Arabidopsis thaliana: one gene and its partner. The protein of the gene in region 1 interacts with the protein of each later gene in a pairwise test. Each region holds a gene or a part of one and is shown in the gene's direction. Other genes may lie near its edges.

Region 1 (5,389 bases):
CTGAAGATTCTCCTAAACCAGAACAACCAAAACCAGAGGAGTCACCTAAGCCTGAACAACCACAGATACCTGAGCCTACTAAACCGGTTTCACCACCAAATGAAGCACAAGGACCAACACCGGATGATCCATATGATGCATCTCCGGTTAAAAATCGTCGTTCTCCGCCACCACCCAAGGTAGAGGATACACGTGTACCACCACCACAACCACCAATGCCTTCCCCATCACCACCATCACCGATTTACTCACCACCACCACCGGTTCACTCACCGCCGCCTCCGGTTTATTCATCACCACCACCACCACATGTCTACTCTCCACCTCCACCAGTTGCTTCTCCTCCACCGCCATCACCACCACCACCAGTTCACTCTCCTCCACCACCACCGGTTTTCTCTCCACCACCACCAGTTTTCTCTCCACCACCACCATCACCAGTATACTCACCACCGCCTCCAAGCCACTCACCACCACCACCAGTATATTCTCCGCCTCCACCAACTTTCTCACCACCACCAACACATAATACAAACCAACCACCAATGGGAGCTCCAACACCGACTCAAGCACCAACACCATCCTCTGAAACAACCCAAGTGCCAACTCCATCATCAGAATCAGATCAATCACAAATTTTGTCACCAGTTCAAGCTCCAACACCGGTTCAATCCTCAACCCCATCCTCTGAACCAACCCAAGTGCCAACTCCATCATCATCAGAATCATATCAAGCACCAAATTTGTCACCAGTTCAAGCTCCAACACCGGTTCAAGCCCCAACCACATCCTCTGAAACATCTCAAGTACCAACTCCATCATCAGAATCAAACCAGTCACCAAGTCAAGCTCCAACACCAATTCTTGAACCGGTTCATGCCCCAACACCAAACTCTAAACCGGTCCAATCACCAACACCATCAAGCGAACCGGTCTCATCACCAGAACAATCAGAAGAAGTTGAAGCACCAGAACCAACACCCGTCAATCCATCATCAGTACCATCATCTTCTCCTTCCACTGACACATCTATTCCACCACCGGAAAACAACGACGATGATGATGATGGGGATTTCGTCCTACCACCACACATTGGATTCCAATATGCATCGCCACCACCACCAATGTTCCAAGGATATTAAAACCAATGTAGTAGTGACAGTGTTACCCATTTTTAACATTTCTGTCCATTTTTTCCATGTGAATTATTTGTATCAAACGAAAAAGATATTACAAAGATGAAAAATTAAAATGCCAATAATTATATAGTAGATTATCTTTCAGCAGATTTTTTTTTGTTGAAATTGAAGTATTGAACTATAACACGATGCGATTTGTTTTTTCGGGGTAAAGAAGTTATCATTTGTTTTGGCCATTTTATGACTTCTATTCTATTATTTGAGAAGCAAAACATAAATATCTATATTTGTAAAATTTAATATCTTACTAGCTACATATAGTTTAATATTATACACATTTAATCTTTCATAACTATGTCATGAATTATTTGACATTTTTCATAAGTCATGATAAATAAAATTATGTATGAAATAATTGAATTAGGGTTTCATGTTCCACCAGATGATTGAACTTGTTCTTTATTCGGATAGAATTATGAAATTTTTATCTTCTATTAAAAAATATATTAACAAAATTAGATTTAACATATATTGATATCTCATTAATGTACTTAACATGTGTTAACAATTTTAAATTTTTTTACTTTATATAATAAAATTAGAATTTTATTAAAATTATATAATATCTAAAATTTGTACTAAATAATAATTCTTGCTGAATTATAATCTAGTTTTTTTTTTTGATAGCATAAAGATTATAATCCGTTAACTTTAAAAAAAAAGCAAGAAAGGGAAATAAATAAATTATTATATCCTTTAAAGAGGACAAAAATATTAATTATATTGCGAAAAAAGGAGATAAAAATTAGGTGGAAAAGGGGAAGATGGTGGGGACGATAAGTTTTTAATTAGCTAACCAAAAAACAAAAACACGAAACGAGTCAACTCACCGGTTCCATTACGAGTCAAGGAGAAACACACATTGACACGCTCAAGCTTTTTTTTTTCAAGGTCAAGTTGGTTTTTTTTTTTCTTTCTTAAAAATATTTATGTTGGGTCAGGCTTAAACCAGAGAGAGAGTGTGTGTGGTCGAGCCATTTGACCAAAAGCAAAAACTTAAAACTGGTTTCAGATCTGAAGTAAAAGGGTTTTGCTTCGGATTCTCCGGCGTCGTTTAAATGATCTCTGACCCATCTTCCTTGGCTTAATAATTCTGGTCCCTCCTTTTATCTCTTTTTACTGTTGATTTATCTGAATATGCCACGCTCTTTCTTCCACATGTTTATTCTCTCTTCCTTTCTTCAACACAAGCGTCTGGTAATTGATCTCTTCTCTCTCAAATTGTGTTTCGTTCTTTTTGGTTCTGTATTTGGTTTCTGACAAAATTGAGGAAACTGGTGTTGGGTTTGAGTCTAGAACTGCCAAAGATGTGATTTTGTTTTTTGGGTACTGAAAATTGAGTGAGATGAAGTGATAAAGTGTCTTTTTTTTTTGGTAAATTATTCGAATGGAACTTGGGATCGGAACTCTGTTTCTTTGTTAGGGTTGGTTGAAATCTGAATCTAGTCTTGATTTTTGTGGTGAAATGAGAGGTGAGTCAGTGAAATTTTGAAATGTCTTTGATTCAATTTGACATCAGAATACTGCTCAGGTTGTGTCTTTTGTCAGATTTATTGAGAATTATCAGCTTCCGACTGTAGATTTGACTTTGGTCTCAGTTTAAAGACTATGAGTGGACTTTATAGATCTAGAAGCATGCGTTGTTTTGATTATAAGAAATAAAAAGAGAGTTTTTGCTTTAAGCTGTTTGACTAATAACTTGACTTGGGATTATGATTTAACCAGCAAAACTCTCTTTTCTCCAGCCACTGTGTTTTATGAATGTTTGTTGATTCCAAATAATAGTATGTGTTGATCAAAGTGAAGTCATTTGGTCATTACTTGGTTCTGAGCTTTCAGTTGTTTTTGCACTTACAATACCTGATGGTCATGTTTGCATGTAGGACTAAGGAAAGCCAACAACAAAATCTGGTTTCAAGACGGTTGGCAGGAGTTTGTCAACCGTTTCTCCATTCGGATTGGTTTCAGATACAAAGTTACAGTCTACATTTTCAATTTATCCTCCACACTCTGAGATCAACCACCATTCTAGTAGTGAAGCTCTTATGCAAATGGATTCCGCACAGAATCAGTTCAACAAACGTGCTCGATTGTTTGAAGATCCTGAACTCAAAGATGCTAAGGTCATTTATCCATCGAACCCTGAATCTACTGAACCAGTGAATAAAGGTTATGGCGGTTCTACAGCCATCCAAAGCTTTTTCAAAGAATCTAAAGCTGAAGAAACGCCCAAGGTACTTAAGAAGAGAGGAAGGAAGAAGAAGAATCCTAATCCCGGTAAGTATCAGAGACAGACTCTTAATTACGTATTAACTTTTGTTTCAGAGGAGAGTCAAAAGATTTATTGTTTTGGTATGTGCAGAGGAAGTAAACTCTTCAACTCCCGGTGGAGATGACTCAGAGAACCGCTCAAAGTTCTACGAGAGTGCTTCTGCTAGAAAGAGAACTGTAACTGCAGAGGAAAGAGAGAGAGCCGTCAATGCAGCCAAAACATTCGAACCAACAAATCCTTACTTTAGAGTTGTTCTGCGACCATCATATCTATACAGAGGTTGCATCATGGTAAACAATTTTTAAAGATTGTAATTAAGGTTCAAGATTAGGGTTAACATGACCTGTTCTTGCTGACTTCTTCGTTTCTGTTTTTTGTTTGTTCAACAGTACTTGCCATCTGGGTTTGCTGAGAAATACCTAAGTGGGATATCTGGTTTCATCAAGCTCCAGCTCGGTGAGAAACAATGGCCAGTGAGGTGCCTCTACAAAGCAGGGAGAGCTAAGTTTAGCCAAGGATGGTATGAGTTCACACTCGAGAACAATATAGGCGAAGGAGATGTATGTGTGTTTGAGCTACTCAGAACTCGGGATTTCGTTCTCGAAGTCACCGCCTTTCGTGTCAATGAGTATGTGTGACCAAAAAAGATTTCCCTTTCATCAGCGATCTTGCAGGTAGCTTTCCAAAGTTAAAATTTTATGTAGGGGTCTCTTAACCATTCTCTCTCTTGCATTGGTTGTCTCTGTTCTAGTAGTGTTTTGAGTGAAATTTCAGGTTCCTATGTTTGGATGTGGATAAGTATTTGACGATTATAATAACCTCTGAGTGGGAAACTCTTTGTTTGAGTGGTAGCTAGGTTCAAAAGTAGAGTTGTATATACTTTTATCTTCATCAGGATAATTATGTTTATTTGAATTGTTGATTATTATGGGTTTGTGTGGGTGAATCCATAAATGTAGTTGGCAAAGCTTGTTCTAGTTGGTTTAACTGTGAGGTGTAAGATGGTGAAAATATCACGACAAAGGGGGAAAAAAATATTATTGTGTAAAACTTGCAGAATCATTTCACCGTTCTAAGGTTTACCAATCAAAGCTTGGATTTCTCTTTTTTGAATGAGGAATTGCTTTTGCTATATTTCAGACAGGGCAAGCTTTTTTTTCGACATACACATTACATCACACAAACTGATAACAGGATCTCACAAGTTAGCCAAGTTCTTACTACAAAGTTCTTGCCAGGCTTGACAAGAATTTCCACTACACATATTACACAACGGGTCTTAAAAATGCCAAGTTCTTACTAAAAATTAAAGCTTGCAAATCTGTTTAACGAGCTAGAAACCAGAAACAAAAAACCGAAGAACTATTATGTGGTTTAACGAGCTAGGAACCGCAGAGATCTTTGTCGGAGAAACATACTTGCATAAGTTCTTCTTCAAGTCCTCTTCCTCAAGACTCCTCATAGCAATCTCTTCAACATCATCTACTAGTCTACAACAAAGAAGAAGAAGAACAAGAAATCACATAAAAGATACAAACAAAACCCACAAATCCTTCTTAAGAAATGTCTTATAAACATTTTACCAAGTATTATGACATTCTCAGACTTAATGTTGACTCTTGGTTTCTTCTTCTTCTTCTTCAACAATTCATCCATATCAACAACTTCACCATCATCATCACTACTTTCAAAACCAGTAAACCCTTGTTCATCATCATCCATAACTTCTTCTCTATTATCATCAGTATCATCCAATGGATATTCAATCTCAGAAGCAGACACATCAAAGATCACAACACGGAAACAAGAATCCCCTTCGTAATGAAAAAACAGAAAGTGACCATCACTTAAAGAGTGAGCCTCTGCAAACTCACTCCAACCTTTCTCGAACCAAACCTCATCACCGATTCTTTTAATC
Region 2 (5,362 bases), on another chromosome or scaffold:
ATGTGAATTTCATGGGGAATGGTCATATCATGGTGGAGGAGAATCGATGTTTTACCAACAACAATCGTAGAGAAGACCAGAGGAGCTCAGGGGATGAGAGTGATGATTTGATCTCATCGCCCAATTTTTCGGAAATGTACACTCAATTGGCGAATAAGACGAGTCCAGGCGGTGACAGGAGGAGACAGAAGAGGAAGGAGAAGGAGAGGCAAGCGTCGAGGACTAAGTGGGAACCAGAACACTTTCTCAAAGTTGCTGATTGCTCCCCCACGCCTACTAGACCCTTACAAGGCTTATGGAAGGTCTCAATTATAACTCCTTATCATATTGTTTTCATTGATAATGTTTGAGATTGAGAAAAGCCTTTGTCTTTAAGGTAAAGGGAATGCAAAATTTGGTTTTTTTCTAAGTCTAGTTGATTGAATAGACCAATCTTTCATTAGTTATCTTCGTTGTAATGATGATGGTTGTGTTGTTAAGTAGTTTATCTCCATGATTCTTGAACTCGGCAGGGTTTCTGTGAGGGAAGCATCGAGTTGTATTTGGTCAAATATGATGAAGTTGGAGGCATTATATGCAGAAAAGTAGAGGACTTGTCCCTCTCACGGTACACTCCTCCTGTGTTCTGGACACCCAAACATACGTTCATCAGATCTCCTTTTTCAGCTGAAGAAGAGCTGCTACTGAATAGTCGAATCCATATTAGCCCTTTCGCTGAAGTTCATGAAAATGTTGTATCTGGAATGTTGTACATGAAGTCTAGCTGCGATCTGGTGTTGCCAGGAGAACCTGGCAATGGCATTGGTTTTCTTAGAGGTGAAGGGCGGGTCTGGTTGTATGACAATGGGACTTTCGGTTTCGGGTTTCTTCGAGATCAATTTATCATTGATCTGAAACGTGTTGCTCTGGAAGATGGGTGTCTAGCTGACGAGGTAGAAGCTTGTATGTGATTTGCTCTTTGGTTGTGATTTTTAAATTCTGATGGTGATAGATGATCACCTCTTTCTGTACATAAAAGAGTTTGGTGACTTTAGAAGTTTGAACTTTCAAGTTTAGTCTCATTTTAGTGGACGTAAACTAGGATGATGGAATATCACCTTGTATTTTTACTTGTTTATGTAGATATGGTTCTAAATAAGAGATTTGTAGAGGTTCATGTATCAATTGTTGAAAAAGAATAATAAACTTGCATACACTTGCCACTTTGCCAGTATAATGTTAATGATGCGGTTTGTACAGCAAAGCTTTTCCAGCAGCATTTCCCGTGTAGCTATGAAGCTGCTCCCGGAGATGAATTTCAAGCAGTGAGGCTAATGCATTGTGCTGTTTGGTGGTGGCCAGTTTGAGAATATAGTACATGGCCAAGCTTTGCCCTGTTTTTGTTCATAGTATAGACTATATCTAGAATATGAGCATCATGGTTGAACTTCATGAGATTGTCCACTGTCTTTGTTGGCTTTCACTGCCTCTGTTTTACGATCCCTCTTTCCGTTTGCAAACTGCAACGAGAGTGACACTCATGGTGCATTCATCGACACCTTTTTGTATAAACATTTCGTTGTTCTCAGATTCCAGAGGTAAACCTACTACCTGCTAAGCATCATCACTGGATTCAGAACTTGACTAAACTGTTGACAGATCTTTTGATGTTGAGGACACAAGTAAACATAACCCGTTGTTGCCCACAAAAGCTATGGTGTTAGAGTCTCTACCTTCCAAAGGGCCAATTTTTGTCTCCAAAGTAAAGAGAGTCGATTCAGTAATATAGATAAAGTTGGAGGTTGGTTTTGTAAATAAAAGAAAACAAAAAAGTAAGAAAAGGAGTACAAATATTTTAGTCATGCCATTGACCACACGAAGAGAAGAGTCTCCTTTTTCTCTATATCTAACCTTCTTCTTCTCACTTTCCCATTTCTCTTTCCCAAATTACATCTCAAATACACAATCCAGCAACACCTTTCTCTCTCTAACAGCTTCGAGCTTCTACACTCATGGCTGCTTCATCCTATGTAGACGGTAACCCAATCATTCTAATTTTACTTTACTTGTACTTGTACACATCTCTCAACTTTTTTAGTCTTGTTCCATACGATCTATAAACTTTTGATCCGATTTTGGTTAGTTTTCGTTAGGCAGAAATATATAAAATATTCTCTTAGCTGATTAATTGTTTTGCATGATTGTCGGAGAGAATCTTCAGACATGTGATCTTCATGGTCCCTCGTCTTGTCTGTGAAATACCGAACCACCCATATGTTTCACATGAATTTTGTATTATTATAATTATATCCAAATTGATATAAACTTGATTGAAGGAATAATTGAATTCATGTTTGGAGTCTCCCAAAATTCAGATAGAGATGTGTGTTTGTTTATATTCTAGATCTGTGTGGTAGTTGAATCCTGAGGTTTTTGTTCTCTGCTGAAATTTTTCAGGAGAAAGAGATATGGAGAAAGGAGGAATGATATTACTACAGTCAAGTGAGAATCAAAATCCTATGATAGATCCTTCACCAACACCTTCACCATCTGCAACTGCTACTGCCCCAGCTTTGGTTTTGTCTAATTCAGGCAAGAGAATGGATCAAGCTGGCAAGAAAAAGTATGTTAAGCAAGTCACGGGTCGCCACAACGACACCGAGCTTCACTTAGCGGCCCAACGAGGTGATTTGGCTGCTGTGCAGCAGATTCTCAAGGATATTAACTCTCAGATGGAAGGGATTCTGAGTGGGGAAGAGTTTGATGCTGAAGTTGCGGAGATTCGAGCATCGATTGTGAATGAGGTGAATGAGTTAGGGGAGACGGCGCTCTTCACTGCTGCGGATAAAGGACATCTTGATGTTGTCAAAGAGCTGTTGAAGTATTCGAGTAGAGAGAGTATTGCTAAGAAGAATCGTTCTGGATATGATCCACTTCATATTGCTGCCATACAGGGTCATCATGGTAATGCTCCTTAACTCGTCGATAGGCTTTTGATCAAATGAACTACAGTATGTGAATAAGAATGTTTTTTTCTTTCTGGCAGCTATTGTTGAGGTCTTGCTAGATCATGATGCGACGCTTAGCCAGACATTTGGCCCATCGAATGCAACTCCGCTTGTGTCTGCAGCTATGAGAGGCCATACAGAAGTTGTGAACCAGCTCTTATCCAAAGCTGGGAATTTGCTAGAAATTTCTCGGTCTAACAATAAAAATGCCTTGCATCTAGCTGCAAGGCAAGGACATGTGGAGGTCATAAAAGCTCTTCTCTCCAAGGATCCTCAGCTAGCGAGACGGATTGACAAGAAAGGACAAACTGCACTTCACATGGCTGTTAAAGGCCAGAGTTCTGAAGTAGTGAAATTGCTTCTTGATGCAGATCCTGCTATTGTTATGCAACCGGACAAGTCTTGTAACACAGCGTTACATGTTGCCACCAGGAAAAAACGAGCAGAGGTATGCATCACCCTGATAGTGTGGTTCATTTTGAGATTTTTGATTGGGTCTTCACATTTTGGCATATACTTGCAGATTGTAGAACTATTGTTGTCACTGCCTGATACCAACGCCAATACTTTAACCCGCGATCACAAGACAGCGCTTGACATAGCAGAAGGACTTCCCCTCTCAGAAGAATCTTCATACATAAAAGAGTGTCTTGCTCGTAGCGGGGCTCTTAGGGCGAATGAGCTGAACCAGCCAAGGGACGAGCTGAGAAGCACTGTCACCCAAATCAAGAACGATGTACACATCCAGCTGGAACAGACGAAAAGGACGAACAAAAACGTGCACAACATTTCAAAAGAACTCAGGAAACTCCACAGAGAAGGGATCAACAATGCAACCAATTCTGTAACTGTTGTGGCTGTATTGTTTGCAACTGTAGCTTTTGCTGCTATATTCACAGTGCCGGGAGGAGACAACAATGACGGGTCTGCAGTGGTGGTGGGCCGAGCATCATTCAAGATCTTCTTCATCTTCAACGCACTCGCGTTGTTTACGTCTCTGGCGGTTGTGGTTGTCCAGATCACATTGGTGAGAGGAGAGACAAAAGCTGAGAAGAGGGTAGTGGAAGTGATCAACAAACTCATGTGGTTGGCATCGATGTGTACATCTGTGGCATTTTTGGCATCTTCATACATAGTGGTTGGGCGTAAGAACGAGTGGGCGGCTGAGCTGGTGACCGTGGTTGGGGGTGTGATAATGGCTGGTGTTCTTGGAACCATGACTTATTACGTGGTAAAATCGAAGAGGACAAGGTCGATGAGGAAGAAGGTGAAGAGTGCTCGCAGGAGTGGTTCCAACTCGTGGCATCATTCAGATTTCTCTAACTCGGAAGTTGATCCTATTTTCGCAATCTAAGATGCGTAAAAGAATCGTGTATATATATTGTTGTATTTGGTGAAGAGAGCTAGACTATTTAGTGTATAAAGCCCCCTGACCATCAAAAGGCAAACACTATTGTCAACCATTAAAGGTTTACACTGCTCAACTCATCTGTAAAACAGTTAACAATTGTCTTCTTCGGAAAGCAAAGAAAAGCAAAGGTTCCTTTGTTAGGAAATCATTTGTAGTATTCATGTTCAATCACTTCAGTTGCACAGCTCTGAGGTTCTTCCAAGCACAAATAATCTCTTGGGCTGTATACTGATTCTGAACCAAGATTTTGGAGTTGTGGAAATCTAAGGAAACACCAGACGCAACCATGATAGTATTTAACTTAGATTGAGAGAGGTGAATAGTCACTGAGAAGAGTAGATAACAGCGTTCGATTTCTCTCCCATACGATCCAAAAACCACAAGAATAAAGTGAGGCTTGCTATTTTTGGGTTCAAAAGGGATATCAATACTAAGTATAAGCCATGGAAGTAAACTCCTTACACCAGCAACTGTAGATGTTAAGATTGTGATGTACAAAACCAAAATTGGTAGCCAACTGTTTCAGGCAAGAGTGTAGTCCAAATACATCATAGAACAACACATTTGGATTTAGAATTTCTTACCTGAAACTTGTTGGATGATGCAGTAACAGTCATTAAGGTGTCAAAGAGGATTGCAAGTCCACAACAAGTATTACTAATTCACCAATTCTCTTCTAGCAAACAACAGAAGAAGATAAGCCAAGCTCAATACACTACAACAAAATCCAGTAACACTGGTTCCGAAATCGAAGCTCAAAATCAAAGAGTAAATCCATAATAGCAATTTCTAAGAGAATTCCAACAAATTATTTTTGATAGGACACTATATGTTTAATCCGGAAGCACAAACACAAAAGGAGACATAAATTGAAGCGTTTTTAGAGCAAGAAATTGGAAAATTCCTTCCTTCTATGCAACAACTGTCTCATTTTCCGACGCCGCCGGTGGGGCCTGCAACGCAT

The links.
Region 2: the proteins of RTV1 (region 1) and ITN1 interact in a two-hybrid assay, tested with the Arabidopsis thaliana proteins (one study listed by BioGRID).

What each region holds. Positions count from the first base shown.
Region 1 is NC_003070.9:18,313,316-18,318,704, reverse strand, and holds RTV1 (uncharacterized protein), read left to right. Parts: upstream 1-1,843; 5' UTR 1,844-2,396; exon of another isoform or gene 2,397-2,671; intron 2,672-3,054; exon of another isoform or gene 3,055-3,082; 5' UTR 3,083-3,244; coding exon 3,245-3,476; intron 3,477-3,561; coding exon 3,562-3,761; intron 3,762-3,860; coding exon 3,861-4,109; 3' UTR 4,110-4,588; downstream 4,589-5,389. Other genes in the region: AT1G49490 (Leucine-rich repeat (LRR) family protein), read left to right, coding at 1-1,142; AT1G49475 (AP2/B3-like transcriptional factor family protein), read right to left, coding at 4,957-4,961, 5,055-5,389.
Region 2 is NC_003074.8:3,932,155-3,937,516, forward strand, and holds ITN1 (Ankyrin repeat family protein), read left to right. Parts: upstream 1-1,845; 5' UTR 1,846-1,991; coding exon 1,992-2,016; intron 2,017-2,343; exon of another isoform or gene 2,344-2,436; coding exon 2,437-2,943; intron 2,944-3,025; coding exon 3,026-3,435; intron 3,436-3,510; coding exon 3,511-4,341; 3' UTR 4,342-4,604; downstream 4,605-5,362. Other genes in the region: AT3G12350 (F-box family protein), read left to right, coding at 1-302, 513-950; AT3G12370 (Ribosomal protein L10 family protein), read right to left, coding at 5,310-5,362. UniProt on the Arabidopsis thaliana protein: Involved in salt stress tolerance. May act through abscisic acid (ABA) signaling pathways and promote reactive oxygen species (ROS) production.